Linked DNA regions of Lonchura striata. The protein of the gene in region 1 purifies or fractionates together with the protein of each later gene. This does not show direct contact. Links are inferred from orthologs where the notes say so. Each region holds a gene or a part of one and is shown on either strand. Other genes may lie near its edges.

Region 1 (7,861 bases):
CCAAATGAAAATATGGTGATAGGAAAAGGACAGAAGAGAGGATGGACAGGGCAGTGTCACTCTACCAACTCCAATTAGCCTTTGCTACTTTATTCACTGTTCAGAATGAGTGGTAACAGATCCCACCAAGACCAGAAGGCACCCAGACACTGAACAGCAGTGGAAAAGTAACAGTAACTTAACCAGTGTACCACAGATAGTATTTTGGGATATTTTTGCTTATTTTTGAGATTTACCAAAAAGTAATAAGCAACCACCTCTTTCTATTTAGCTACCCACTATTTATAGCAGGAGAGGAATTATACCAAAAGGCAAGGAGCAGAGGATTTTCATCATGCATTCAGGTGTGTGCAGGTGCATAGCTGTGCCCTGGGAATGGAATGAAGGTCTGCTGTCATTTGGCACATTTATTTTGCATTGCACTGTTCTCTATTACAGAGTTTCACCCTTATTATATGTTTTACTAGGACAAGCTCATAATGGATTAATTTAAGATTTCAAGGGCACACTTGCTGTACTTTATCAACATGCTAACTTCCTTAAATTCACCCCATTACACTTCTCCTCCACGTTAGTTCAAACTACGTTTAAAAACACATTGTAAGGCAACAGAGCAGAACAAGAGAGAGAGATGAGATTTAGTACTAAAGGTAAAAGATGGTGGTTTGAGTGGAGACTTGGAAAGAACCTGATGATACCATAAGCAGCAGGGAGTAAAATGGTAGAGACACTGAGAAGGCACACTTGGCTAATGAAAAGGTAGCCAAGGTCAGAAATATCTAGCACAGAGCAGACAAGATGTGAGGAAGAGCCCACAGGATTCTGGGCAACTTAAATACATTGAGAGAAAAAGATTAAGTCTAAAAACCAGAAACCCAAGAGTTACTATCGGAAAATGAGGAAAGATGATGATACTTCTAAGACCTCTCCTAAACGTTTTCATTTGCAATTTGCTTATCTGAAGAGCCATCCCCAGTCCTACATCCTGGTGGCAGTTAAGATCATTTAGGATGTTTTTACTGTCAATTCCTGGCTCAGAGAACTCCCCGCCTCTGGCGCTTGGCTGCTGTGGCACTTGGCCAGAGCCTGAGCTTGGTGAGCAGGGATAACATGAGAGCTGCTCAGCTCAGTTCTGCTGTGACTGAATTTATTTTGCCCTTTATGTGATGGTGCATTCATGTCTTGAAAAATTATTTTTGACAAACACATGTATTCTAGTGTTAAATGATACAAATCATCCAAATTTATGGATTATTGTAAAAATCATACAAATTTATGTCAAACATTTATGCTGAATGTGCTGTTAAACATTCCAGTGAACTAATTAAAGTGAAATAAGGCTAACATTTTTCTTTTTTTAAACATGCAGCCTTGGTCCAAATCAGTACCAGAATTAGCCTGTGTATATTTGAACGAGAAATGCCGTTGTTGTGTGGCTGGAGACCTGGATAAGACCAGAACAGGGCAGGAAGAAAGCACACATGTATCAAAAGAGTCTTCAACAGCAAGCAAATATTTTCACAAACAATCTTTTCAGGGAGGGAAAGACTTAATATTTCCATACTGGAAAAAAAAATCCCCAAATAAAGCCATGCGAAAACCTAATACTTTGATTCACAAACATTTAGGACACGTACCATTAACTTTTGAAATTTCTGAGATAAAAAGAAGACAACAGAAGTCTGGTTCTGGAAGAAGTTTACCATTTCAAATTCACACAGATGGCAGAACTGACACTTAGGCTAAGCTCTGGGGGTGGGGGGAGAAGGCAACAACAAACTTAACATTACCTAGGGAAGTCTTAGTGTTTAATTTTCTCCAAATACTGTATCACACAGAGAAAGGGCGGGTGGGAACCACTGCTGGTGAAGAATTCCCTGCAACAAACAGGTGAACTGTACGAGGAGAGAAACAAAAGCTGGATATGAGGCAGCAACTAAAAACAAACAAACCCCCGTTCCAGACACCTCTTAAAGGGATATCAAAGTAGTTGTGGTATCACTGGACTGGGAACAATACTTCATCCTGAGTATCACTAATAACTAACTCTCCAGACCTCTGGGAGAAGTTTTTGGGTCTTATTTTTAAAACTCAAACAGTAGTCTCGAGGTTCCTCTCGCGCTCGAAAGAATGGGTGTCGTGGCAGAAAAGGTTTATGCGGGGTGTATTTTAACACCGGGCAGCTCTCAGCCCAGGTGAGGCTGTCGGGGCTCCGGTGGTGTCAAACCACCCCCGGCGCTTCCCCGGCCTGCTGCAGCCGCCCCACCAAAAAACACCGCCCAAACTTTCCAGTTTCGCTCCAAAGGCCGATTCCTCCCCGAGATAAAAGTTCAGCGGCGCACAACCCCCCGGCAGCCCTTGCAGAGGCAGCCCGGCACGGCCCCGTGTGCCGCGGGGGGCCCGGGACGGCGACCCCCGGTGCGGGCGGGGCGCGGCCCCGGCGCCGCTGACGTCACACAACAAGCTGCCACTCACCGGGGCACCCCCGGTGCCGCCCGTGTCACCCCGCGGGGCCGGGGGGGCAGCACCGCCCCCGCCACACCGCCCACGGCCCGGCGGCGGTACCGGGTCCCGGGCGGGGCGCGGGCGGCTCCCGCGGGAGAGCCCCGGGGCCGCGCCCCTTCCTCCCCTCCCCCGCTCCCGCGGCCCGGAAAGGGCCCCGTTACCGGCCCCAGGAACTCGCGGAGGGGCCACCCCCGCCAGCCCTCCCCTTTTGTGCGCGGCGGTGGCGGCGAGAGGCCCGGCCGGGCCCGGCCGCCCCCGCCCGCAGGCCGCGGACTCCCGGCGGGGGCGGGCGGGCCCCACCCGGCGACGGCGGCGGGAAGGGGGAAGGGGAGAAGAGAGGCCGGCGATCCGCCCCCCCACCCCGCGCCCCGCGGTCGGCAGAGAGCCCCCCGGTACCTGCGGCCTGCGCTGGTCCGGCTCCCGCCGCCTCCTGCTCCACAGGCCCGAGCGCGAGCGGCGGCGGCGGCGGAAACGGGCGGGGCGGGGCGGGCCGTGCGCGCTCCCGGCCCCGCGCGCGGCGCGCTCCCGAGCCGCCCCGCCCGGCCGCGCGCGGCTGCCAGCCCCGCGGCCAATCGGCGCGGCCGCGCGCGGGGGCTGCCGGGAAGGGCCGCTATAAAAGGTGCCGGTGCTATTTACGCCGCGGCAGTTGGGGAGCGGCGGGGCTGGGCTGTGGGCTTGGCTTTGGGCCTGTTGGTGTTCTCTTAAGGGAGGCTGCTCGCCTCCTTGCGGCCTCATCGGTGCCTGCTCCGTGAGGCGTTATCGATGCTGGGCACGGTCCCTCCGCATCTACTGCGGGAAAGGCGGCTGTGGTGGGGCCCTGAATCGCGATGCCCGGTTTGTCTGTGGGCGGTTCGTCTCTCCCTTCCGGTCCAGTGCGTGGTTCTGGGCCCCTCAGCTCGGAAGGACCAGAAGGGTCCAGGGAAGGGCAGTGAAGCTGGTGAGGGGTCTGGAGCACAAGTGCTGTGAGGAGCAGCTGGGGGTGTTTAGCCTGAAGAAAAGGAGGCTCAGGGGTGGCTATGCTACTCTGTAAAACTCCTGACAGAAAGCTGCAGCCAGGTGGGAATTGGCGTCCCCTGCCTGGGAACTAGAGATGGGATGAGAGGATGTAGTCTCAAACTGCACTGTGCTGGACATCAGGAAGGATTTCTTCACAGCAGGGGTGATCAGACATTGGAACAGGCTGCTTGGGGAGATGTGGGGTCACTGTCCCTGGAGGTGTTTAAGGAAAGGCTGGCTGAGGCACTCAGTGCCATGGTCTGGCTGACATCCAGGAGTTTGGTCATAGGCAGGATTTGATGACTGCAGGTCTTACAACCTAATTGATTCAGTTAAAGGTGGTTGGGAGCAGTGGTATCAAAGTACCCTGTTTGTCTGTGAGCCTATTTATTCCAGTGGAGCAAATGAGCTCTGCTCCTAGCAGGCACTGAGCTGTGCCGTTGGGGCTGGAGAAAGCTGAGGGGCTCACAGGCAGCACAAGGCAGGGGCTGGAAGGGTTGGAATCACAGCATTTCCTGAGTTTGTCTGTGGTGAGCTTAATGGCAAGGACTGCCCTCATCCCAGGGTGCAGATACCTGTGGTTGATGCACTGGAGGAAGGATGCTACTTCATCATTTCCATCCTTGCCCACCTGAGGAGGTTCAACATGTGGAACTGGCTTCAGGGGCCCCGGGGTGAGGTCATCACTGCAAAGGGAATGTGTGCATGGAGAGGGTTGGTGACAAACAGCCTCTGGTGTCTCTCAGGGCTCCCTTGTGAACAGGCTCAGCAGCCTTCAGCTGGCACTTGGGGATGGTCTGTTTAACCTGGACACTGTAAGAGAAACTGATGCTGTGCTGCTTCTGATGCATGATCTGCAGTGCTTCTCCCCATTCCCTCATTTGACAACATTTGCATTGCCAGCTAACTTTAGGCTGACCTTTTTATGGACTGCTCTGGTACCTGTAGAGGACGGGTGCTGCTTAGCTCCTCTCAGTAAGCAGCTCCCTGGGACTGGCTTGTTCTGCCAGCATTGCAAGGAAGGTGACTTTTTCTTACCAAGCAGACGTTTGATTCAATGTGGTAAATGGTTTTTACAGCTTAGTACCAGTTCTTGATGGATGACTGATAGTGTGCACAGTCAGAGGCCCATGATAGTTTATTCTGTGGCTGACCAGTTTGCCTTCACACCTCTGTTGCTGAGACAGAAGTTCATTTTCCTGAAGTTTATAGGGAAATTATCTGTGGTTTGAACATCGGGTTGGTTAGGCTTGAATCAGAAATCAGTTATTTCTAGGCCATAGGTTCTTTTCATAATTGTTTTTTATTACTGTTTAATAGAGATCCTTGTGGCCTACTGTTGCTTTTTTTTAATGATCCATTGGGAATTTTTGCCTTTGTTTCCAAAACACTATCGGGTGTTTTGATCACAGTGTGTGTGCTTCCTTTTCCTTCTCCTTGCCCAAGGGAGAGCACTGATTGAATTTGGGTCTGTGGCCACAGGTCCTGCTCTCTCAGGTGGGTACTGTTTGGGCATGATGTTAATGAAAGTACTTCAGGAGCTGACTTTTCCCAGTTTGGTGAATAGGTATCTTGTAATGGATTCAAAACTGATTTTAATCAAGGTAGCCAACAAACTCTACTGACAGCAATGAGGATCCTCAGTCTAACTCTCTCTGTAAACCACATCTTCTGAAGGTGTCTGTAGTGTGAACTTGCTACCTTTTCTTGTCTTGCGTGTGCTATTCAAAACAGTCTTCATCCTGACTTTCATGATGGCCAGGTTTGTGTCAAGGGTGAGAAACTGCTGCAGAAGTGCAGCTCTTCTCACACAACATTTGGGGACTTTGTTTATGTATCAAAGCAATGTATTCTGAAACTATTAGTTTGGTCATAAATCAAAGCCCCTCCCTTTCTCCTCCTCCCCTCAATTATTTTATTTTGCCAAGGTAAGGGCCCATACAGGGGAAAAAATGGTTTATTGACTGCCATGAAAAGCTAAAATACCCCAAATATCTCTTGCAGATATTTTTATTGCAGGGATACCTTTTACAATCAGTTCTACTTAAGTCAGACAGTCTTTCAAATGTGTTTACAGCTAGCAGGAAAACAACAAGAACTGAGAAGAAATAATTGGAAGCAGTAGCTGATAAATTTTTTTTTCCCTTAGGGAATATACCATGGGTTATATTTTTGGTCAAGCTATACACTTCACTGAAGAGTAAATGTAGTTTCTGTGCCAGGAAACTGAGAGCTTCCTTCAAGCACCCCAGCACTGACATGATTTACTAAGAGTGCTTCCATAACTTACCTATTAGTTAATTGCATTATAATTTGCTTTTAAAAATCTTGTCAGAAACTGGGAGTAGTATCTAGAAATGCTTGCCAACCAAACATAATGGTATGTCAATGTTGTCTTTGTTCTAGGGCTATAAACTGAGCAGTGTAAAGCATCTGTCTACCACAATAAAAACGTGGGTTTGTGTCTGTAGAAAAAACAAAACCAACCCAAAAATCCCCAACAACTTATCCTTCCCAGCTGACTTGGCTATCCAGCTCCTAATGTCACAAACTTTTATCTAAACCCAGGCAGTTCAGATTAATGAACAATGGAAATTAGCAGGTCAAGCCAAATATGCCAAGTGTCTTTTCTGTTTCCTCATATGTGGCCTAATTAAGCAAATGGGAACTCTCCCAATGGTGCCAATAAAAAAAAAAAAAAAAAAGTAAACCCAGCAGAGTTCAAACCAAAAGGAGATCTATTTCTTCCATGTAGGACATCAGTCTTCCTCTCTGCATAGTCTACACCACATTTAGGCCAAATGCAGGCTTTAATGAATTTAGTTTTTGATCTGCCTCAGAGATAAAGAATCCTGAAGGGCAAGTCACCTGTCTGAAGTCCTAAAGGAAGTGGCCACCTTAAAAGCAAGTCCTTTAGCCTCCTCCTTCTCCCTTGCTGTAGCAATTAGCTCACTGGTGTTGTCCATGGGTGGTAGTTTGCAGCTGGGCCCATGGCTGCTGTGCATGTTGCTGTTATGACAGCCCTGATGAAGGGAGAATTCCTGTGCTCTGGATAGGGTTTTCACAGAAGAGAGAACTGCTTGTCCACACAGATAGGGAAATCCAAAGCCTTTGATATGCAGAGGGGGAGCAGAAGCTCCAAAAATTTGCTGGCCTCCTCTAGCAGTGGTTGGAGAAAGGACACCTACAAGCCCCAGATCAGTGCTGCTCAAGTGTCTGGCACAGGCACCTCCAAGGCTTGGTCAGGCTTCCCTGTTGCAGGACTACTGCAGCAGGAGAAAGCAGCTCTGTGTTCCTGCTGAGAGAATCCTGGCTGGAAGGCCTTGAGACTCAGAGGAACACTGGCCTTCCAAGAACTGCGTGTCTCCAAGCCTATCCTCTGCCTCCATGGGTGCGGCAAGCACACTTTAAAATCCTGCAGCAAAGCCATCAGAGCACTCTGTGGTCTGTGTTCCCTCTCCAAGTGTGGGTTCCTCCTTTTCTCCTCATGCGAAGGTGATTTATTGCCTGAATTGAAATTTTATCTCGCATCCATACCTGGGAATATGTATCCAGGAGGCTGCAGCTCTCAGAGACCCTGGCTGGCTCTTGGGCACAACAGCTCCAAACTGCAGTGACTTGCACAAGCTCATCCCTTAATCCTAGTGTGACCCACCTTCCTGTGTTCCACAAATAGGGCACAAGCTCCTCCTGCACTTCTGAAAACCTTTCCTATGTTCCATTATTGTCTCTTGCAAGTAATTTATTTTTCTACACAATTCTGTCAGGTTGTGTGTCAGTTGAAAGCTGAATTATTTAGTTTATTTCACACCAACACGGCGCTTGTACATGGCATTTTGTTGTCTTTAAGTGAGCAGTGGCAAGAAAATAAAATGGTAATAAGTTTACTTTGTGGTATGTTCAGAGCAAATTGAATTTAAAACCCTATCAGAGAAATGTAGTTTGACTAAGAGGCAGCAAGCAAGACCAGTGAAGGTCAGTTTATGTTCAAACTCAAAATAATTACAGAACTTTGAGTTTGTAAATGGAATTTACAGAATAGAATTCTGTTCTATTATAAAACAATAGAACAGAAATGGAATAGAATATTTCAGTTGTATAGTAAGACATTTAATATTAAAATCTTTCTGTGCACTTTGAGATAATTAGTTTTCTTTCTCTTTTCTGAATTTAGAAATACTTGGAAGAGCTCTAGTAAATTGTGCTAGAAATAAAAGTGAAATAAAACCCCGTTCCCTTTTAGTTTCAAAGGGTAAACAGAAGAGAGCATAATGATGCAACTTGATCCTGAAATAATTAAATTACTACAACATGTTCTTATGCCAAAACTGTTTTTTCTATTAAATGCCCATGCTTCCCT
Region 2 (7,826 bases), on another chromosome or scaffold:
ATTAGTGTTACTTAACTTTATTATCAGGGGTTCTGAGCCTGGTGAATTTCACTAGACTATAAAATCCCTTCCTAAATGAAGAAGGCTAATAAGATTCAAGGACATCTTTGTGAAACTTAGACTAAAAATCTACTTGTAAATGAGTAAAATTCAGTATTCATTAAGGAGTGACATTTTTAAACTACAGGTGTAGCAAGTTGTGAATTTTATTAAAAGTAGTCTCTACAAATATTTTGACATGCTTGTCTTGGAAATATGAAATATTTATGGTTCCCACAACTTTTTCTGTAATTCTCTCAATTATATACTCTTCTTTATTAATCCTCTGTTCATGCTGGTTTTGTTTTTGTGGGACTGGATTGTTTTGTTTTTTTTAAGATGTAGCTTTACCAAAGAGAAGCTTCCTTCTTGGGAGTAAAGTCAGCTTAAGATATCCTCTGTTCATGCTGGTTTTGTTTTTGTGGGACTGGATTGTTTTGGTTTAAGATGTAGCTTTACCAAAGAGAAGCTTCCTTCTTGGGAGTAAAGTCAGCTTAAGATACTTCATGTGTTTCTGCTTCCCTCAGCTGAACTGTTGAAACTTATGGGAATCCATGTCAAACCAGATCAGGGAAGTCATTCATGTTAAAAATAACCTTGCCAAACAATTTATTTTCAATCAATACCATTTTGTAGTACAGTAGAATCTAGGGAATCACTGGGTCAACGTAGAGATGTATAATAGGTGGGGAAATGAGCCAGAGTGGAGAAAATGCTAAAGTTGACTTTGCTCAGGGAAAAAAAAAATAAATCTGAAGAACTACAGCCCAAAGGACTTTATATAATAGCATGAAGCTAATTTGCCTGAGTGGCTAATTTGTTTGTGGTAGATAAGTAATAGTGGATATGGTAAATAAGGCTGGAAGACTTAAAGCAATACATTTTTTCTTTAACTTCTGCTGCTTTTGAAAGCTCTTCTTTGTAGACATGGTTTTCATTCTGTATGATGATGGAGTAGTCATGAAAAGCAAGAGCTGTTTGTGAACAACAGATTCTGAGAATCATTGAATCATTAAGGCTGAGAAAAAACTTTAACATCATTGAGTCCAGCTGCTAATCCATCACCACTGTGTTCACCACTAGACCATGTCCACAAGTGCTACATTCACTTGCTTTTGATGACTTCAGGGATGCTGGTTGTACTATTTCCCTGGGCAGCTTATTCCAATGTCTTCACCCTTCCCATGAAGAAATGTTTCCTAATATGCCATCTAAACCTTCTCTGGCACAACTTGAGCCAATTTCCTCTGGTCTTGTCCCTTGTTAACCTGAGAGAAGAGACCAGCCCCCATGTGGCTACACCTTCCTTTCAGGTGGTTGTAGGAGGGCAGTAAGGTCACCCCTGAGTCTCCTTTTCTCCAGGCTAAACCCCATCTCCCACAGCTGCTTCTGCTAAGAATTGTGCTCCAGACCCTTCACAAGCAACCTTGCTCTTCTCTGAACTCATTCTAGCACCTCATTGCCCTTTTTGCAGTGAAGTGTCTAAAACTGGGCACAGGACTTGAGATGTGGCCTCACTACTGCCAAGTACTGGGGGACAACCACTGCCCTGGTCCTGCTGGCCACACTATTGCTGACAGAGGCCAGGATGCCACTGGTCTTCTTGGCTTCACTGCTGGCTCATGTTCAGTTGCTGTCAACCAGCACCCACTCATCCTTCTCTGCCCAGCAGCTTCCAGCCACTCTGCCCTAAGCCTGTTGCATCAAGTTGATTCTAGACACAGGTCCCAAATTTGTTGGAGAAGGTGATGGGGAGAAGTCTGAGTTAAGTAAGTTAATGTGTTAACTTGCAGGGAAATTATGAAACTCATTAAAAATAACTTTTTTTTTTTTCTCTTTCAGTATTTCACCTTCTTACAAGAGCCTACCATCAGTATCAGAGACTTTTCCAACCCTGAGAACAATGATTGAAGTACTAAACACAGACTCCTCTCATTGTCTAAAAAAAACTATAGTTGTTGTATAATTTATACAAATAAAAGGCCAAAAGGTACTGCTTTGTAAATTATTTTGAATAGCAAATTATGGACAAAATGGTTTGATTTTATTTTGGTTTTCTTAACAGAACAAACTTACTTACTATTTATCACCAGTAAAAGAAATCTTTCTGTGCCAAATAATATTAAAGAAGAAAAAAGAACAACTGCTTTTTTTGTATTAAGACACACTGTAACAGAAATAGTTATTCAGGGGCCCAACTGAAGAGCAGAAAGAAACTTGATCATTTATGAACTGAACATACTACAGGTGAAAATTTATTTAATAAAAAAAACAGAAAAGTAATTTTCTTTGGAAATAACACTATTTTACTTCTCACTGGTTTGTTTTAAAGCCTCTGCACAGAACACTTAAAACTCTACCATGTGTGAGTAACTGGAGAATACACAGGCATTTCATGTGGTGCAGTGCAGTGAAGGAACAGATGTCAGCTTAAAAGAATGGGGCTCAGGGAAACATCATTAGGAAACAAAACCAAACCAATTACTTATTTGGAGTTAGGCTCTTGGTGAGTAAATGTCAGAAACAGAACAATCTCCCTTTCCCAGTACCCACTGGTGGTGGTGGTTGGCAAAAGTTAATAAAAGAGTGACAGGATTTAAATATATTGGGAGCACTAGCTAGTGTTCCTTGAGTTGTTTTTTGTTGGACAGACTTGGCAGCATTCAGGAAAAGCAGGTTTCCCTAACCAAACCATAATTTGACCACCTGTGTGTTTAGTACTAATGAATATGAATTCTGAACTTTCTTGATCGGAATTTCTGTAAAGGGCAAAAGTAGTTTTGGTTTTTTTTGTTTTGTTTTTGTTTGGGGTTTTTTTTTTTTTTTTGCAAGTAAGGATAAAGGAGGTTTGTACGTTTTCATTGAAAGAATTGGGATGCTGTCCATTTGTGACACAGGTATTTTCAACATTCTGTTCTTAAGTACCTTCTTCTATCCCACTAGAAATAAGCACTGTTTGCTTCTTCTGTTTAAAAGACTAGAAGTTTAAGTTTCATTAAGGAAGAAAGGAATTGTTATTTTCCTGGAAAAACAGCAGCCTGAAAACTATGCCTAACTTTATACCTTGTTTGTGTTCTAATGTGATCTTCTAAGCCTCCTCTAAGTTTTGTTATTCATTGTATTATTCATTGAGAAAGGGGAATCATATTGGCATTTGACCAGACAGGCTTGGGAACTATAAAAAGGAGGGGTTCTGTTTTGAGGTTTAGACCAGAGGTAGTGGAGAAGGGGTGGTGGGGAAGAAAAAAACTGCCTGGACAAACAAACCATGTGCAGTTGTCTGGGTTTCCTTGTCCTCATTTTTTACTCCGGTGACTGACTTCATCCCTATCTCCTGGTGGCAAACAAAAGAGATTAATTAAGGGGAGATCATGGGAGGGTTTGGAGTAATGTGTGTTACACCTCTTATGAGTGTATGTGTGGCTGCAAAAGTGTTTCAAAGGCTTCTTTCTCTGGGTGTGATGCAGATGACTAAGAAAGAGAGTGAGCTCAAGTCAAGTGCTCTCAAACAAGTTTAACAAACAAAACAAGATTATATAACTGGGCTGGTATGTGATGACTTGGGGAACTGTAATTACCTCCTAAGGACCAAGTACGTGGAGAAATCTAATTATCATTTTCCATCCTCTTCTGTGCCATCTTAGACAGCTGGTCTGGTGATACCATTTGAACTCTTAAATGGGAACATTAATGTATTGCAGCCCCAGTCATTTATCTACTAAGAATGATACTAAAGAAAGCAGACTGAGGAAAAAAAATAGGCTAAGCAATGAAAAACCATTAATCTGAACCTCAATATTTGCACTACTTTGTAATATATTTTGAAGATGATAAACATTCCCCCTGCAACTACCTTGGCCAAAAGTCAAAATAGATTTAGTCTTGTATAAATCTTCTGACATATTTGCCTCTCTTAGGTAAGCTTGATTTTTTTTTTTCTTGTTGTTTTTTTGAGTGTTTTTTTTGTGGAAAGGAAGTATGCTTCCACCACCCCACCCCAGGAGACTGGTCATCTTTTGGGAATTTGTGTGTGGATCCTTGGTGAATCTTTTGCCAAAATAAGGACTTTTTACCAGAACCGAGCATTTGTACAACAAAGGAAGAGACCAGACAACCTAATTATTTAAGCCTTTAGGCATCTATTTTACCAATGTAATGCCTACTGCATTGATTTGTTACGCTTAGGCTGCAACTTTACTATCAAATTCATACAGAGGCTTCGGACCACCTGGCACCCTAACTGGTGCAGTTGGACAAAAGTGCATGTGCCAGACATCCTCTCTCTTCTGACAGCAGCCGGTGTCTTCTATCGTGTTAAGAAACACGTACGACTTCTTTAGGGAGTGAGGAAAGGCAGGTTCTTGGGCACGGTGATCCTCTGCTAGCTGAGGCAAGTCCTTTCGTGGTGCTCCTGGCCCGGCAGCGTGGGAATACTACAGCTTACCTCGTCGGCAAAGCAGGGGAAGGGCTGTAGGAGACGAGAGCTGCGGGCAGGGGCACTCGAGGGCCGCGGGGCCCGCTCAGCCCCACGCTATCGACGGTGCCGAGAGCGGAGCAAGCCCGGGAGGCGGTGTCCCCGCTTCCCTCTGTCGCCGGCCCGAGGCAGCGGGAGCAAGGCCGGCTCCCGGCAGCGGCGCCGCGGGGGAGGCGGGCAGGGGCCGCCGGGCTGGGCGTGCGGGGGGCGGGCAGCGCGGGGCGGCGGCCGCCCGGCTTTATAGCGAGCGAGGGAGGCGGCGTCTGCGGGAGGAGAGCGGAGGGGGCGGTTCTCTTCCCGGTCCCATCCCCAATCCCGCCGTGCGAGTGCGGGGCCGGCGGCGGCGGGGTGGCCATGGCCTCCATGGCGGCGGCGATCGCCGCTTCCCGCACGGCGGTGATGAACGGGAACCGGCCGCTGGACGAGCGGGAGCGCAAGCGGTTCAGCTACTTCTCCTCGCTGAGCCCCATGGCGCGCAAGATCATGGCGGAGAAGGAGCGGATCCGCGAGCGCTACGGGCCCGAGTGGGAGCGGCTGCCGCCCCGCCAGCAGGACGAGATCATCGACAAGTGCCTGGTGGAGCCGCACGTCCAGGCCCGCTACGCCGCGCACCGCGGCACCGCCCGCCCGCCCGCGCCGCCCGCCTCCTACCCCAGCCTGCGCCTCAACACCGGGCAGAAGGTGGTGCGCTTCGGAGACGAGGTACCGGGCTGGGGGAAGGGGAAGGGGCGCCGGCGGGGCCCCGGCACCCCCGCACGGGCGGGGCGCGGCGGCCGCGACCTCCCCGGGCTGCGGCGCCGCCGGCGCTGGGCTGCCCGGGTGGCGGGCGCTCCGTCGGCAGCGGGAGGAGTTGCCCCGGTGATGAGCTTGATTCCTTCCCGCTGCCTGGCTGTGCGGGAGGGCGGGATGCTCACCACGAGAGAGGCGCCGGGTCACACCGTAAAGGCAAGGAAGGCGCCGGCAGCGACAGCGCTGAAGTGGATTTTGCAGAAAGCAGACTCGGAGAGAGGACGGTCTCAGTTCCCCCGACGGCGGGTCATGGCGCTGGACATAGTCTCTTGCTGAAAATGGGCTGTAGGGAATGTTTACACTGAATTAAATATCTTCCTTTTGGTTTCTAGTTTTAGACACGGTTAAAAATACAACACTGAATACATTCTAGCTCTTGGCATGTTTGACACCTTAAAAAAATGCAGCCTGTTCCATGTCACATGCCAGGAAAAACAAGGGTGTGGAAAGATAGATGGCAAAAAGTATAGATTTTGAACCTTCTGAGAACCACCTATCCAATGGTGAAGCGTGGCAGCCCTTCTGGAAATCCACAGTAAAAGAGTACCCGGTCTGGAGCAGTGGGTCGTGTTACCGAGTGTGAGCCCTTGAAGAGGAAGGTCTAACAATGCTTGAAGAGATCTGACAGTACTCTTCAGATACTGTGTCTCTTATTCAGTGTATTGATTCCCTTTGTTTTCTATTCTTTTACATTTCTATTGTATTTTTTTATTCTCATATGATTACAGAGTCGGTTTCTTTCACTATGTCCATATAATAACTTTAAGTGACCTATTAATTAACATAATTCACTTATATGTCTTCTACCAGAAAAAAAAAATCTGCTTCTCCATTTGTAATCATCAATCCAATTTAAGGAGAGCAGTGCTACTTTTAGGCTCCTCTCCAATATCCCTTGCAATGGGATTTCTAAGAAGCCTGTTGGGCACAAATATACTGGGCATCAAGGTTCCCAACTGGCTTTGTGCCAGGAGACTGCTGCCTGTGTTTCCCCTGTCAGGAAGGTGTGCTGCACACACATCATATCTAAAGCTAGAAAGCATAGGATGTAGCTCAGGTTTGTCTAGTTCATGACACCCAATATTCTAGATAAATATTTGACAGGAATGGCCAAAAGGAGGTGTAGAAGGACACAAGACAACAAATTTGGTTATGCAAACAACCTTTAAAAAGAAGCTTAAATCTGAAGTTAATTGTGAAATAATTTAAAGAGTGTGGAAAATAACTATGTTCAGTTTTCCCAGCCTTGGAGAGCTCTGCTGTGCTGTCTGCTTTGAATTATGTGGATCTGGAAGGAAAGCAAGCATGTTTATAGGCTGTTGTGCTGCACTGTATAGAAATAATAATTTCCTAAACATCTAGAGAGTCCATCTGAAACTGGGCAAATAGTTTTCTTTCCCCTCTCTCCCCAAATACAGTTACAATATGCATAATGTTAATGTTTCTGTAGCCATTAACCACAGAAGGCATGGTTTGTCCAAATACTTGATACAAAGTGTTTAATTTTGGAAGTATCTGCCTCAACTGACTTCCTCAATGACTTCTAAGCAGAAGTTAATATAAATTGTTTCTCTGAAGAAAAGAGATTCCACTCATTTTGGCATTCGCCATTTCCATTTTAGTTCTTCCAACTGTACTACTGAGCCTTGGAGCCTTTCCTGGCTCTCCATCTGATAGCTTCCTCTCCCCTGGCGCCCTTGCTGGCATTTGACCTGATTGTTGGACATTTGCCCTGGCTGACAAATTGTTCCTCCTTGTCTGGCTGCGGCAGAGCCGCCGCCGCGCCGCTCCCTCGCCGGTTCGGTCCCGCTTCCCGGGCTCGCAAAGCTTGGCCTGCAGAGCTCTGTCACCTCTGTGCCCTGCTCAGGGAGCTGTGCCCTGCTGCCTGTGTGAGCCTCAGCTGCTGCACGCACTGTGGACACCCAGCCCTCGCTCAGGACCATTGCATTGGTCCTGCCTGCTCTAAGGCAAGGAAACGGAGAGTACCCCGCATGCCTCAGAATCACTTGTGGAAGCTGCAGAGCTTTCAGTGCGAGTGTTTTGGCCTGATGATGTTCTGGCTGATACACTTGGTCCAAAAGTTTCATGTTTCCAGCCACAGCTCATCTTCCCTGTTAACTGATGTTGAAATCTGTAGTGATCTACCTGGGCTTGCTTAAGCATGGAAATGTGATCTCTCTGACCTCATGTTCTTTGGAGGATGTGGTAGAAAGCAAACCAAGAATGAATACTGAGGATACTGATTTGCTGGTCCAGGCCTCTCACTGTTTCAGTCCCATTTTCATGCATATGACCATTATGATGAGGTGTCCAGAGGATATATGTAGTGGACAGTTGCTTCCCTCTTTCTTGCCCCCACCATTTCCTGTATGTCTCTTCTAACACCAAATTTATATCCTGAGCTTGTAGCCCAGGACTGTAAGTTCTCAAACTATAAACAACTCTTAAGTTTTCAAAACACCTTTGAGTGTGTTGGCTGTGTGGGAAGGGTGTTACAGAGAATAGACATGCAGTAACAGGACCG
Region 3 (7,117 bases), on another chromosome or scaffold:
CACCCGAGACCCCCCGAGACCCCCAACCACCCCGAGACCCTCATCAGCTGCTTGGACCTGGGGAGGGGGCGTCCTGAGACCCCCGCCCACCCCCGAGACCCCCATCAGCTGCTTGGACCTGGGGAGGGGGCGTCCTGAGACCCCCGCCCACCCAACCCCTCCATGAGCAGCTTCGACCTGGGGAGGGGGCGTCCTGAGACCCCCGAGCCCCCCAACCACCCCGAGACCCTCATCAGCCGCTTGGACCTGGGGAGGGGGCGTCCTAAGACCCCCGCCCACCGCCCCGACCCCGGCCCGAGCCCACCCACCCAAATCGGGCACCTGAAGTCCTCCAGCTGCCGCGCGATCTCCGGCTCCTGGAAGCTCTGGATGTCCTGCAGGAAGCGGCGCTGCGCCTCCTCGGGCAGCAGCTCCGGCCGCGTCCGCTCTGCAGACCCCTCCCCAAATTCACTGCGGGGGTCCCGGGGGGGCAGAGACCCCTCCCCAATTTGAGTAAAGGGATCCCAGGGGGCAGAGACCCCTCCCCGATTTGAGCACGGATAGGCAGCAACGGAGAAACCCTCCCCATTTTGAGTGGGGGGGTCCCATGGGGACAGAGACCCCTCCCCAAATTCACTGCGGGGGTCCCAGGGGGGCAGAGACCCCTCCCCAGTTTGAGCAGTGGGGTCCCAGGGGGCAGAGACCCCTCCCCGATTTGAGCAGGGGGGTTTTGGGGGGAGGCAGCGGGGGAGAGACCCCTCCCCACTTTTACAGGGGGGTTTTGGGGGGAGGCAGCAGGGGAGAGACCCCTCCCCGCTTTGAGCAAGGGGCTTTGGGTCCCATGGGGGGGATAAGTGGGGTGGGGGTCCCACAGGGGGGTAATTGGGGTGCCCTCGAAGCCCCCCACCCAAGCTCGGGGAGTTTCTGGAAGTTTGCAGGAGGGGGTTTGGGGGTCTCTGAAAATGAGGAGGGGGTCGGGGGTCTCACTCACCCAGCTCAAACTGGACGTGGTGTGGGACGGGCACCCGCAGGAGCTGTCAGTGATGGGGGGGGGGGGGTGTCAGGATTTTGGGGATCACTCCTGGGGTGGGGAGGGGGTCCGGGGTGCATTCTGGGGAGGGGTCTCACCCCTGTCTTGTCCAGGAACAAGTGACAGAACTCCAGGAATTGCTTCCTGCCCTCCTTGGGGTTCATCCTCTTCATCATGTCCACGTGCAGGTAGCAGAGCTGGGGTGGGGGGTGGGCAAACGGGCTGACCCCCCCCCAAAATAAACCCCCCAAGCCCCCTCCCCAAATTACACCCCCAAACTTCCCCCTCCCCTGTTTTACCTCAGCTCCAGCCCCTGCCGGCAGGGAGGGGGGAACAGAGACACGAAGTTACTCCGAGGCCGCAGCCCCCCACCCTCCACTGCCCCCCCCGGGGGAAATTTTGCCCCCCAAAATTTTGGGGTGGGGGTCTCGAAGCCCCCTCCCCATCTCACCACGGGGCAGGAGTCGAACTGGAGCACGACATGCTGCAGGAAGGCCGCGAGGGCCAGCGGGTGCTGCCGCAGCTCCTCCAGGCTCTGGAAGTGGCTGCTCTGCTCCTCGGGGGTCTGGGCGGGGGGCGCGGGGTCAGGTTTGGGATTTGGGGAGGGGGGCGCGGCCGAGGGGATCCCCCCACCCGGGACCCCTCCCCAAAACTCACGGGCTCGATGTCGTTCTCGAAGTCCTCGTCCTCGGCGCCGATGATGGCGGCGGCCGGGGGGCCGGGGAGGGGCTGGGGGGCAGCGGGGGTTGGGGGGCTCGGGGGTCCCCCAGACTGCCCGGACACCCCCAGGACCCCCCCAGGCACCCCAAGACCCCTGAGACCCTCCTCCCATACTGAGAGCCCCCGATACCCAGGAGCCCCCAGACCCCCAGACTAAGAGTCCAGGATGCCACAAACCCCCGAGACCCCCAGACTGAGACCCCCCAACACCCAGGACCCCCCAGAGCCCCAGACTGAGACCCCCCCGACACCCAGGACCCCCCCCAGACCCCCGAGACCCCCAGACTGAGACCCCCCCGACACCCAGGACCCCCCCAGAGCCCCAGACTGAGACCCCCCCGACACCCAGGACCCCCCAGAGCCCCAGACTGAGACCCCCCCCGATACCCAGGACCCCCAGACCCCCGAGACCCCCAGACTGAGACCCCCCAACACCCAGGACCCCCCAGAGCCCCAGACTGAGACCCCCCCGACACCCAGGACCCCCCCAGACCCCCGAGACCCCCAGACTGAGACCCCCCCGACACCCAGGACCCCTCCAGACCCCCGAGACCCCCAGACTGAGACCCCTCCAGACCCCCGAGACCCCCAGATTGAGACTCCAGGACGCCAGAAACCCCCAGACCGCCGAGAACCCCAGGCCCCTCCAAACCTCCAGCACCCCCAGACCCCTGAGACCCCCCCTCCATTCCAAGACCCCCACACACCGAGATCCCCCCCCGAGACCCCCAGTACCCCCCAGACCCCCGCGATCTCGGCCCCCAGGGCTCTCCAAGACCCCTGAGCCCCCCAGAACCGGGGGTCCGCGAGGCCCTGCGCCCCCCGGGACCCCCCTCGCCCGCGGGATTTCGGGGGGGGGTCTCCGGACCCCCAGGGTGGGGGGCACCGCTCACCCCATTAAATCCCTCCTCGGGGTCCATCGTGCTCGCGGGGGGGGTTCGTCCTGTCACGAGTTTGGGGAGGTGGTCTCAGATTTTGGGGGGGGTCCCAGGGGTCGGGGGGGGTTTCTCCGCACCCCCCTCTGCTTTGGGGAGGGGTCACGGGTGGGGAGGGGGCGGCGCCGCGCCCCGAGCGGCTCCGGTGCCGTTCGAGGCGGGGGGGCACCAGGGCGGACCCCCCCAAAAAACCCCATTTGGGGTGGGGGACACGCGTGGGAACCCGGGGGGCGACCCCGGGGGGCGAAGGGGAACTTGGGGGGCGTTTGGGGGGGGTCGGGGAGGGCCCAGGAGACCCCCGCCCACCCCCCCCCCCCCCGTACCTGTTTCCGCGCCGGAGAAACGGTCCAGGAAATGGGGGGGGGGGACCGGGGGGGGCGGGGCCGGCGATTTTGGGGTGGATTCGGGTGGGTTTGGGGCGGAAAAGGGCGTTCCCGGGGATTTGGGTTAGTTTCGGGTATTTTTGGGGCGGGTCTGGCCGGAAAGAGGCGTTCTCGGGTGATTTTGGGGGGGGTTTGGGTGTTTTGGGGGCGGAAAAAGGCGTTCCCGGGGCGGGCTCAGGGTTTGGGGTGGATTCGGGTGATTTTGGGGGGGTTTGGGTGTTTTTGGGGCGGAAAAAGGCGTTCCCGGGGCGGGCTCAGGGTTTGGGGTGGATTCGGGTGATTTTGGGGGGGTTTGGGTGTTTTTGGGGCGGAAAAAGGCGTTCCCGGGGCGGGCTCAGGGTTTGGGGTGGATTCGGGTGATTTTGGGGGGGTTTGGGTGTTTTTGGGGCGGAAAAAGGCGTTCCCGGGGCGGGGTCGGGGGTTTGGGGTGGTTTCGTGTGTTTTTTGGGGGGGTTCGGGTATTTTTGGGTAGGAAAAAGGCGTTCCCGGGCGTCGCAGGAGCTTCCTGCAGGAAGTGGCGTGGGACCCACGGGTGGGACCCACGGATCCCCCCCGGGGTGTGGGACCCACGGGATGGGACCCACAGAACCCCATGGGGTGGGACCCATGGGGTGGGACCCACGGAACCCCCACGGGTGGAACCCCATGGGGTGGGACCCACGGGTGGGACCCACAGAACCCCATGGGGTGGGACCCACGGAACCCTCGCGGGGTGTGACCCACAGAGCCACCCCAACGAGACCCCCACTCCAGTGCCAGGAACGCCCGTGACTCGGGGATCCTCTGAGCCCCCTGACCCAAATCTTGGCACCCCTGAGACCCCCCAGAGCCGGACTGTGACATCCCGGTGCTGAGACCCCTGGACTCCTGAGCCCCCAGACCCAAATCCCGAGAGCCCAACACGAGATCCTCCATTCCCCAAGCCCCCCGCGCACCCCGTCCCCTCCTCTGGGGTCCCGGGGGATTTTGGGGCGGGGGTCCCTGGGGATTTTGGGGCGGGTTCCCTGGGGATTTTGGAGGGGGATTTTGGGGCGGGGGTCCCTGGGGACTTTGGGGCGGGCCGCCCCCACTTCCCTCCCCCCGGGGCACTGGGGCGAATCTCCTGCCGGGCCTGGGCGCACGCAGCTGATGGCGGCTGCTCCCCAAATCCGGGGGGCTCCCCCAAAACGGGGGGTCCCGAGCCCCCTCCTCACCCTCAGCCTCCTCCTCCTCCTCCCAGGTATCGCTGGGGGGGATGGGGGGGCTGGGGGCTTCGGGGATCTCGGGGTTTGAGTTTGGATCTGGGGGGGGGTTTGAGGGGTTCTGGGGTGTCGGGGTTTGGGGCTGAGGCTCTTGGGGGTCCCAGGGTTTGGGTCTGGGGGTTTCAGGAGTTCCAGGGTCTCATTTCCGGGGTCTTGGGGGTCTTGAGGATCTCATCTCTGGTTTTTGGGGTGTTTCAGGACTTCCGGGGTCTCAGGGTTTGGGTCTGGGGATTTTGGGGGGTCCCACCTGTGCCCACCCCCCTTAAGGGCGGGTCCCCTGTTACCCACGGCCATGGGTCCCTCCTGAACCCCTTAGGGGGTCTCAGGGGGACCCCAAAACCAAAAACAACCTCCGGGTGCTTCCCCCCAGCCACCTGGGCTGGTGTCACCCCTGGGACCCCCCCCCCAGCTTCCGTCCCCAGCCAGGGCTGAAACTGGGGGGGCAGAACTGAAATTTGGGGGGGCAGAACTGAAATTTGGGGGGGCAGAGCTGGAACTGGGGGGGCAGAGCTGAAATTGAGAGGACAGAGCTGAAATTGGGGGGGCAGAGCTGGAACTGGGGGGGCAGAGCTGAAATTGAGAGGACAGAGATGAAATTGAGAGGACAGAGCTGAAATTGGGGGGGAAGAGCTGGAACTGGGGGGGCAGAGCAGGAATTGGGGGGCAGCAGGGCTGGGGTTCCCCCCGGTGCCACCTGCAGGGTCCCCGTGTAAGACCCCCACCCACGGGGGGTGCAGGGATCCCCCAAAACGGGGTCAGCGCCCCTCCGTGATCCCCCATTTGTCCCCCCCAGGTTCCAAGTGCCACAACAGCTCCTTCCCCGCTTCTCCCGCCCCACGCCCGGAGACCCCCACCCACGGGGGTCCACACTGACCTCCCCAAACGGGGTCAGCGCCCCTCAGCGACCCCCCCCACCAATTTGTCCCCCCAGGTTCCAAGTGCCACAACCTCTCCTTCCTCGCCTCTCCCACCCCACGCCCGGAGACCCCCACCCACGGGGGGGTGCAGGGATCCCCCAAAACGGGGTCAGCGCCCCTCCGTGACCCCCCCAATTTGTCCCCCCAGGTTCCAAGTGCCACAACCTCTCCTTCCTCGCCTCTCCCACCTCACTCCCGGAGACCCCCGCGCTGACGGTGCCCACCCGGCCCGGGGGCTTCTCCTGCGGCTCCGGGGGAGGGGTCCACGTCCAGCCCGTGCCCACCTCCGTGACCGCCGAGCTCGGGGAGTCCCTGAGCCTGGAGTGCCGCTTCGAGCCGCCGGACGCCCGCGTCACCTGGCTGCAGGTGTGTCCCGGCGGCCGCACCTTTGGGTGCCCCTGGCCCCAGGAGCTGCCGGCCCAGGGCGGGGAGCGCTGGGTGGGCCAGGGGGACTCGGGGGTCTCCAGGCTGAGCTTCGCGCACCTGGAGCACAACCACAGCGGGCTCTACTTCTGCCGGGTGAGCTTCAGGAATGCATCCGCGCAGTCCTGCGGCACCTTCGTCAGGGTCCTCGGTGAGTGGGGGGCTCCCGGGGGGGTTTGGGGTGGGGGTCTCCCGGGGGGCTCTTGGGGCGAGAGTTCCTGGGGATTTTGGGGGGATTTTGGGGAGGTTTTGGGGCGGAGGTCCCTGGGGATTTTGGGGTGGGTTTTGGGGCGGAGGTCCCTGGGGATTTTGGGGTGGGTTTTGGGGCGGAGGTCCCTTGGGGATTTTGGGGCGGGGTCTCCCGGAGGGGGTTTTGGGGAGGTTTTCGGGGCGGCTGAGCCGGGCTGCTCCGGCAGAGCCCGTGCCCGTGCCGTTCCTGGACCTGGCAGACGCCACCAAGAACAGGATCATGACGGCGCAGGGAGTGCTGCTGCTGCTGTGTGCTGCGGGGCCGGGGCTGCTGCTGCTCTTCAGGGTGAGGAGGGGGCTCCGGGGGGACCCCCGCCCCTAATTCGGGGTTCTGGTGTCCCCAATCCCGGCCCTGGTGTCCCCAATCCCAGTCCTGGTATCCCTGGTCCCGATCCTGCTGTCCCTGATGTTTCAGTCCTGACAACCCCAATTCCTCCTGGTTCCCCAAAATCCCCTTCCAGATGCCCCTAAATACCCCCTGCCACCCTTAATTCCCCCCCTAAGACCCCCAGTTTCCCATTCAATTCCTCCCCAATCCCCCCTGTACCCCTTTTTTGCCCCCATCACCCCAAATCCCCCCCTCAAACCCCTCTGTACCCCTTTTTCCCCCAAATCCCCCCTCAAACCCCCTGTACCCCTTTTTTTGCCCCCATCACCCCAAATCCCCATTTTTTCCCCCAAATCCCCCCCTCAAACCCCCCTGTACCCCTTTTTTCCCCCTCCCAGAAGCGCTGGGCCAATGAGCGGCTCCTCCAGCCCAAGAAAATCTCCCTGGAGGAGGAAAACCTTTATGAGGTGACCTGGGGGGGTGGGCAGTGACACCCTGAACCCCCCAAAAAAGGGTCTGGGGTGTGTTTGGGGGGGGTCCTTCACCCCAAACCAAACCCCTGACCCCAATTTCCCTCCCCAGGGGCTGAACCTGGATGAGTGCTCCATGTACGAGGACATTTCCCGGGGGGTTCAGCCCACCTACCAGGACGTGGGTACCCCCCCTGCCGACGGGCTCCTGGAGAAGCCTTAAAAGCCCCCCAAAAATGAGGGGGGGTCCCAAAGACCCCTCCCCAAACCCCTGCGTGCCCCCCGACCCCACGAAGGCTTTGCTTTGGTATCTCAAGGCGGCGCTGATGCCAAGCCCCTCCCCAAAATAAAACTGGAGCTGATGAATCGCTAATAAACAATTAATTAATCTTTAATAAGTTTTGAATAAATAATGAGGGTGAGACCACTGGTTTCCTCCCAT
Region 4 (7,851 bases), on another chromosome or scaffold:
AAATCTGTTTCTCAGTAATCTGGAAATCTGTAGCTTCCACGAATGCCACAATTTATAAAAGCTGTGGTTCTATTTGTGTCTTTGACTCATAGAACAGAAGGAATAACAAACACCTAGGCTGAAAGAGATTTAACACTGGTAGCAGCAGGGTGAAGGAAAATTGAGCTATCACTGTTTTTCTGAGTCTGAAATCATAGAGTTGCTTTCCCCCAAAGAGAGAACAGATAGTGGTGTTTTCAATAGATGGAATTGTTGATCCAGGTGAGAACTATCACCCAGGTGCTGTCATTTTACTAGTCTGGAAGAGTATAAGAAAAATAGCTTATGGCTGCAATAATTTCAGTAGTTCTTTGTAAATGATGCATGAGAAGAGGTTTAACAGGTTTTGTTCATTCATTAATACATTTATTTTGAGCAAGGATTCATCCTGAAACTCAATAATATTATATCCCTCAGCCTTGTGTCATGCCTTAGGTAGGTAAATATATTTGTTACACAGTTACAGCTGGGAAAAATTGAACCATGAAAGGATCATGACTTATTCAAGGCCAGAAAAATCCTCTGTAGTACAGCCAAGAAGAATATCTAAGTTAGACGTCAAGCTATCAATATTCTAAAGACTATCTGACATCAAAAATGGAACTGATTTCAGTAGTTAGTGCAATATGTACAAACTAGTGATAAAAAAAAATCAAGGCAGCAGATATACTGTACAAGGACTACACTCTAGTTTGCTGATTGCTCTGTTGCCTGTTTGTCTTTCTTAAAAGACAAACTTAAATTACAAACTCTTTGGGAAGAGATAACCTTTTTGTTTTGGATCATATGGTAGATAGACCAAAAAGTTCACCAGTTCATGTGTAAATGCTACAGCAAAAAAAATTGTTAAGTGTAAGGAATGTAACTAGACAATGCAGGAGTGTTGTAAGTAGCATCATCACCACTGTTTCTTAAAAATAATCTGGGAACTGTTATTACATGCTTTGGGAGAACAAGAAGATTTAAGTACAGCTCTTTCCTTATACTATGTGTCTGAAACTTAGGTCAAAACATCACCCTCAGTTTCATGGATCCAAAAAAATTTTTTAACAAAAGTTCTGTTCCATATGGACTGAATTGTGAGGGGAAAAAAAAATCTTTAAAGGTGTTTTCCATTAAAATAATAATGAAAAGCATAAGTAAAACATTAAGGAAATAAATTTATAAATAGCAGCAGACTAGACATTCCCAGTGTGTGAGCAAAAGCCCCTATAATTTTCTGTAACAGATTCCAGTTTTACTTGACATTCTCTCTCCTGAGAAGTGGTACAGGATCCTGCTTTTCTGAAGGATACCTGTTATGTTATAAGGTACACCTGTTATGTTATAAAGTAAGAATGGCATCAGAAAGATGGCAAAGCATTACTACAGAAAACAGCAATGCCGGCAGATTTCAGTAGTACCTAGGAAAGTAGTATGAAAAGATCCTCAGATTGGTTCTCATTTAGTTGCTTGACTTTTCCATTACACAGAGGAGTAAACAGGAAAGGATTTTGGCTTAAGAGCAGGTTTGTTTTCCCTTTCTCACAACGGAAAGAATGAATAGAAGATCAAGGTGGGGATAAGTCTTTCTACACAGACTAACAAGACAGGGAGAATCCAGTTTGTATACAGTATTAAAGCACTTTTTGCATGTTTAGTCAAGACCAGAAGCTATGGACTGTATTATCTCTCATATTTATTCTGTTTGTGCATGATGATGCCTAGGTTATATATTCAGGGGCACAGCAGATTCCTATCTCTAGCATGTTGAAAATTGTTGACTATTCATTACACTGTTACAAGTTTTGTGCAACAAGGAAACTCCTTGGCTTGCAAAATCTTAGTGTGTTCCCAAACAGAAGTTTCTTTGTGTACAACGGTAGATGTTCCAAATATTGCACGATGCTAATTTGAGGCCAAAGGCCTCTGTTTCATAACAAACCCTGAGTGCTGTTACTTGTGACTAAAAACTGCTAAAAGTCTCAGGTTACCTTCTAGAGCTGTGTTTTAGATAGAATGAGAAATAATCTGTGCAAGAGGTAACTGAGTATCTTTCAGAGCTCTTAAGCAAGTTTTGTACTTTTTTTCAATCAGGTCAGCTTGTTTATTTAAGTGCAAAAAAAATTTTAAGAGCAAATGAGAAAACACAGATGTCAACCAGCATGTTCAATTTCTGATTTCAAAGTGGTAGAGCCTTTATATTGTGCATAAATCTGTGTTTCATGTCAGCACTGCACTACAGAGTGTTCTAGAGTGAGGAATGGAAGACGGGTCTTGTTATCCATTATGTTTCCTTCTCTGGTCACAGCACTGTGGAGAAACACACTTTTGAAAATAAATAAAGTGACTATAGGCACTATAGGCAGAATGTAATTTATTTGAATTGAAATTCAGCCACTAGTCAAAGGATAAACAACAATGCACTTTTTAATGAAGAATAGTAAGTTTTCCACTTTGCATCTTATCCAGAAGTAATGCAAAACCTTGACAGCACTGGCCTTACTCAAAAGGCAAAGTAATGCCTTAAAAGGAATGGTGACAGCACCTGTCTCCTTTTAGCTGTTTCTTACAGTGGTGCCTCTCACTGTCCCTGAATTTTATATTTTGCCCTGTTCTTAGCTGCTTTCCATAAAACATTTCACCTCAGTGTACATGCAGATACACCACAGTGTAGAATTCCTCAGTACCCCACTGCCACTCTGACATTTTCCTTGAATTTTCTGTTTCCTTCTCCCTTGTTGGAGTCTTGACACCCTGAGAGAGATGTCCCCTAGAACTGTCATACACATTGTGTATATACCCTTACCTCCTAGATTTAATTTTATTGAAGATATGCTGCTTCTCCTCTGTATTATATTCTGACCAATTGCTATTCAAAGGAATATTCCTCTTCCATTTTAAGAGCATTTATAAAATACCTAGTCATTTTGTTCTGTTTAGATGTCTTTAAAAGCATAGGGGTTTGTGTGGTTATTTTCTTTCTTTTTTCTGTAAATGTGATTTTATGGCAGAGAGGAATATTTGAAAAACTATAATAATGCACTGATTTGCATGTAACTAATTTCATGCTGTGTCTACAAAGTGGATACTTTGTTATCTTGTTCCCATGAGTAACCTCCTCACTTTTTCAATGTGTCTTGGTCTAGGAATCTTCCAGAATACTCTCTCTAATTTACAGCAGAGGCTTTAAGTGTCAAATGCTACCTTTATGAATTAATTTACATTACAAGTTGTACATTAGCTGTACAACCATTAGTTGTAAATTGCAAGAGAATATTAGATGATGGTCTGCTTATCCCAAAGAAACTATACCTGCAAGATGACAAGGAATACAACTGACCTTCTCACAGCACTCTTCACTGAAAACCTTGCACAAGGATGGTTGTAGTGTGGCATCTTGACAGATCACCTAAATGATTCACTCAGTGTGACCTCAAGGCCTTACCTACTGATATTATTCTCTAAGTATACAGAGTACAAAAAGTGTCCTCAGGCTTTTGTCTAACGGGAAAAACCTCTTCCTATCTGCTCATCACATCCTCCAGCAAAGACCCTACATTTAGGTCAGCTTCTGATCATATAGGTAACGCAAGAAAGAATCTGCTTCTGCTAGAAGGTAATTCTCACTCAACTAGTGCTTCAGATCAAATCACTGATCCCAGGAAACTGACCATACTAATAATCATTACTGATACGCGTAGTTAATGTTACACTTGCATACCCACCAAATTCTGAAAAATACGCTTGAAATATTCAGCTAAAGTGCTTTAAAATGTGACTTCTACTTTATCTAAAAACCACACCGTCCCAAAACCAAGCTTGTATGCATAGCAATATTCAGTTTTCCTTTTCTCATCTCAGATCTAAAAGCAAAACCACCCCAATGTGGTTGAGCGAAAATCCCGACAAGTAGAAAATTTACTTGAACCTCCCCAAGTTTCTGGTCATGTGATGTCTCCTGCCTTTCTTCTCTCTCGCAGTCTCTCAGGAAACAGCCGCAGCGGTAGGTGTGCGTGGCAGGGTATAACCTTTCCTACATGTGCATGCCTGCGCACACAAGGAGACATTAACGCTTCTCCGAAGTTTGCAGACATGGAGAAGTACCTGAGGACGGGGGGAGCGGCGCCGGCCAACTGAGGGCAGCCCGGAGAAGGACGCGCGGTGGCTACGAGCGAGGATGTGCATTTGATTCCCTCCTGACTGCAGAGAGGGACGCCCAGGTGAGCTGGGGCACACTTGTGAGGCGATTCATCGGCTGTACGCAGCGAGGCACCGCGGGCGCTCCGCTCCTCCCGGCCCCTCGCCAGCTGCTGGGGAAATGCTGGCGAGAGGAGAGGCTCAGATTACGGGGGTGCGAGATGGGAGGGCTCCGAGATCCGGGAAAGGCTTCTCCGGCCTCGCACGGAGCTCAGCCCGCCCGGCCGGCCGTGCGCGCCCCGGGGCTGCCGGAGCCTCCGCCGCTCCCGCACGTGGGGAGGGCCGCGTGGGGCGGGGCCGCGCTCCCCTCTTGGCGCCTCCACCGGCTCCCTGGCTTGGCTCGGCCGCACGGACGGACTCCGTCCGGCTCCAGACCCGGCCGCAGGCCCGGCCCCAGCCCCGCGGAGCAGCGGCGGCGGCAGGCGCGGCTCCCGCCCGGGTCCCGCCCCGACACCTGCGCGGGGGCGGACGGGGCGCGGCCCCGCGGCACCTACGGGCGCGGCCCCGCCCCCGGCGCCCGCCGCCGCCAATCCGCGCCCGCCGTCCGCCCCCGCCCTACGCCGTTTGCGCAGGCGGCGCCGTTTGCGCAGCGCGCCGTCCGCCGGCGGCCCCCGGTGCTCGGGAGCCCGATGTGACCCGACAGAGAAAATGGCGGCGGCGGCGGGGGATCGCGCCTCGTCATCGGGATTATCCTCGGGCGGCGGCGTGGAGGCGGCCGCCGCCGCCGCCTGCGGGAGCCTGAAAGGCGGCGCGGTGGCCGGGAGCGTCGCCGGGAGCGGCGGGGGACTCTTGCGGGAGGCGGGCGGCGGCAGCCGAGAACAGCGCTCTGACTGGAGACGGAAGCAGCTGCGCAAAGTGCGGAGCGTGGAGCTGGACCGGCTGCCGGAGGCGCCCCTCTTCCTCGCCGCCGCCCCGGCCGCCTCGTCCTCTTCCTCCTCCTCCTCGCCGGAGCCCCCTGAGACGCTGCTGCTGCTCCACTACCTGCCCGGGCCGCCGCGCTCCAGCCCCGCCAGTCCGGCTGCCTCCCCCAGCCGCTGCGCCGAGCTCCTGGAGCCGCTGCCGGCGGGGACGGGCGCCGCCGCGGAGCGGAGGATGGAGCCGTCCCCCGCCGCGAGGTGAGGGGCGCCGGCGGCTGGAGGGGCGGCGAGGGTCGGTCCTGGAGGGCGCTGTGTGACAGCGGCGGCGTCGGGGCTGTTCTCGCGGACGGGGCTCGGGGCGGGCTCCGCCGCCCCGTTCCCCCCGGCCGTGGGAAGTGGCGGATGCGGGGGCGGCAGGAGCGGCCGCGGAGCGCAGCGCTGGGGCGCGGCGAGCAGAGCTCGCCCGCCGCCCGCCTTCCCCCGGGACACCTGGCCCGGGGCTGAGGGAGGGGCACGGCCGGGCCGGGCTGCCCGCAGCTGTCAGCGGTGCGGGGCTGCGCGGGAGCCGAGCCGCGGAGCGGAGCCGCGGGGGGCGGCCCGTGTGGCTGCGGGGTGCGTTTGTGTTCGACTTCTGCCGGAGTCCCGAAAGGCTTTGAAGTGTGAGCTCGGGGCGGCGGCGCGGCCGGGGCCGGATGTGTCAGCAGCCATTGGGGCTCGGGGCGAGCGAGCGCGGTGCGGGGCCGGGGCCGGGCTGCGGGCGGCGGCTGAGCGCCTGCCTTGCGGGCTCCCCAGGCGCTGCCGAGTGCTTTGCTGCAAAACTGAGTAATCGACTTTATTATGTTTTCATTTTCCCCTTCCCCCTCCACCCCACCCCCTGAATTCTCCGAAGTCAGATTTTAATTTGCTGCCTCGCGATAATGCAGAACTGATTTCTTTTAGTAACAAGAGGAAAGACTTTGAAGCATAAATATCCGCACTCTTTTAATAGGGGAAAGTAATTTTGTCGTGGCTTCGTCTAGGTGATAAATTTCAGTGGTTGTACTCAGCGCCCTGGTGTTTGCAGTCTGTCTTTGCCTTCTGTGTGTATTAATTGATAAGTCCATTTTCTTCTGAACTACCAGTATTTTGCCTATTTGCCTATTTATGTTTGCAAGTACTCAGGTTGAAAGCGAACTTATGCCCGTGGTGAAGGAGTTTAAGTACTTTAAAACACATTTCAGCTTTAGCATGTACTCGCTGGGTTTTACTGGTGTATGTGTGTGTAGGCACTGCAGTATGACCATTTAATTTTGGTGTGAAGATGACAATTTCACCTGGATCTCTTGTAAGGTTTTATCTGGTGCGGACTCTAGTTTAAGAACTTAGTTTAAACATCCAGGGACCTATTTTAGTGATGCCTTACAGTTTGGCTAATCATTTAAACCTCATAAAAATATAATTCCTGTTTGGACGTGACTTGTGTTTTCTTTTTAGTCGCATCTTATGTCAGTCAAACCTCAGGAATATTTTTTAAAGGTTGAATTACCATAGGAATACTGTAATAAGAACTGTTTCCTAGACTGATGACTTGTTTATATTTATTCTCAGCAATTCAGATGGATTTTGGCCTGTTCCTAGGGCAGTGTAAAAATACTTCTTATAGTGTGATTGTCCAGATAAGAAATGGCTCTGTACTTACACAAGGATTAGCAGGAAATTGTAGATGTTTTAGGGAAGGGTAATGATGTAGAAGTTCTAGTGAGTGCCTTGTCTTTTTAAAAACTATTAGCACCATCTTTGTTTTTATAAAGTCATGGTATTATAATGTACTGTATATGATAATACAGTTATATCAAGTTTCATGGCTTTCAAGAAAAAAAAATAGCATCAGAATATGTTTAAAGAGGTCGAGTCTCAAGGTGGTAGCAAGTGGAAGTCAGGCTCAGTGTTGGAGGTGCAGGAAGGTCAATGTGTGTCGCATCAGTGCTGAAATGCTGCATCCATCATTGGTAGTTGGTCCCACAGCAGCAATGACAAAGCAGCTGTGGATATATTTTTTTGCCTTTTCACATGGACAATTTTGCTTACTTTTAGGTACCTGCATTTGGCCAAGTGAGTGTATTGAGTGTGTATGCAATTTAAAATACTTGGAAGTGTTTTGTGCTATTTTACTAGGAATGTTAACAAATCTTAGAAAATACCGAATGCCAAAAGCTTTTCTCTTCAGTATTTCAGTGAGTCTACTTTGAGTTTCTTGTAAGAGCACTTGAAAATACATGACAACTTTAACAATGATTGTCCTTCAGAAATACCCATGCATGCTCATGTAGCTCAGTGTGCTGTATTACCAATAAATACATATTAGACCAAGTAGTTTAAATCAAGTTTAGATCAAGTTGTTTAAAAAATTTAAAACATCTATATGGCCTCATTTTAATATTGACTTGTTTCAGCTGGAGGAGAGAGGCTAATTGATATGCGAGTAATAATAATACTCATTAAATTTGTCTGGCCAGCTGTTGCCGAGATATTTATTAAGAGGCAAACTTAAAGGTATAATTTAATGAATGTTTTATGGGGAGGTTTTGAATGCAGTTAGTTGTACTTTACCTGTAAGGATCTACTATTAGTTAGAAGATATATTTGCTCCAAAGTCCCCCTATCAGTCTCTTTGGTATTACAGTTACTTCCTTTTAAATAGATTCTCTGTTTCTCTTTATGCTGGAAGACCTTCTTGATCCTCAAAACGAACCTGAGAAGGGAAACTGACTGCTGTTGAATTATAGATGTAAATATT

The links.
Region 2: the proteins of RHOA (region 1) and C3H1orf198 purify together in Homo sapiens (co-immunoprecipitation; 3 studies listed by BioGRID and IntAct, with this or other methods). This does not show direct contact. The link is inferred for Lonchura striata from reciprocal best matches to the Homo sapiens genes RHOA and C1orf198.
Region 3: the proteins of RHOA (region 1) and rho guanine nucleotide exchange factor 1 purify together in Homo sapiens (affinity purification with mass spectrometry; 3 studies listed by BioGRID and IntAct, counting the BioPlex papers as one, with this or other methods). This does not show direct contact. The link is inferred for Lonchura striata from reciprocal best matches to the Homo sapiens genes RHOA and ARHGEF1.
Region 4: the proteins of RHOA (region 1) and MAP3K1 purify together in Homo sapiens (affinity purification with western blotting; 4 studies listed by BioGRID). This does not show direct contact. The link is inferred for Lonchura striata from reciprocal best matches to the Homo sapiens genes RHOA and MAP3K1.

Annotation. Positions count from the first base shown.
Region 1 is NC_134614.1:10,401,852-10,409,712, reverse strand, and holds the start of RHOA (transforming protein RhoA), read right to left. Parts: upstream 3,004-7,861; 5' UTR 2,902-3,003; intron 1,896-2,901; 5' UTR 1,791-1,895; intron 1-1,790. UniProt on the Homo sapiens protein: Small GTPase which cycles between an active GTP-bound and an inactive GDP-bound state.
Region 2 is NC_134605.1:42,773,551-42,781,376, forward strand, and holds the start of C3H1orf198 (uncharacterized protein C1orf198 homolog), read left to right. Parts: upstream 1-4,815; 5' UTR 4,816-4,867; coding exon 4,868-5,215; intron 5,216-7,826. Other genes in the region: TTC13 (tetratricopeptide repeat protein 13), read left to right, coding at 1,882-2,005.
Region 3 is NC_134639.1:340,577-347,693, forward strand, and holds the start of rho guanine nucleotide exchange factor 1, read right to left. Parts: upstream 3,010-7,117; 5' UTR 2,988-3,009; intron 2,673-2,987; 5' UTR 2,650-2,672; coding exon 2,623-2,649; intron 1,739-2,622; coding exon 1,667-1,738; intron 1,575-1,666; coding exon 1,461-1,574; intron 1,207-1,460; coding exon 1,108-1,206; intron 1,014-1,107; coding exon 971-1,013; intron 428-970; coding exon 322-427; intron 1-321. Other genes in the region: B-cell antigen receptor complex-associated protein alpha chain-like, read left to right, coding at 3,654-3,658, 4,067-4,266, 5,082-5,144, 5,414-5,779, 6,045-6,163, 6,604-6,672, 6,788-6,898. UniProt on the Homo sapiens protein: Seems to play a role in the regulation of RhoA GTPase by guanine nucleotide-binding alpha-12 (GNA12) and alpha-13 (GNA13) subunits. Acts as a GTPase-activating protein (GAP) for GNA12 and GNA13, and as guanine nucleotide exchange factor (GEF) for RhoA GTPase.
Region 4 is NC_134642.1:31,200,087-31,207,937, reverse strand, and holds the start of MAP3K1 (mitogen-activated protein kinase kinase kinase 1), read left to right. Parts: upstream 1-4,851; 5' UTR 4,852-4,866; coding exon 4,867-5,333; intron 5,334-5,706; exon of another isoform or gene 5,707-5,734; intron 5,735-7,851. UniProt on the Homo sapiens protein: Component of a protein kinase signal transduction cascade. Activates the ERK and JNK kinase pathways by phosphorylation of MAP2K1 and MAP2K4. May phosphorylate the MAPK8/JNK1 kinase.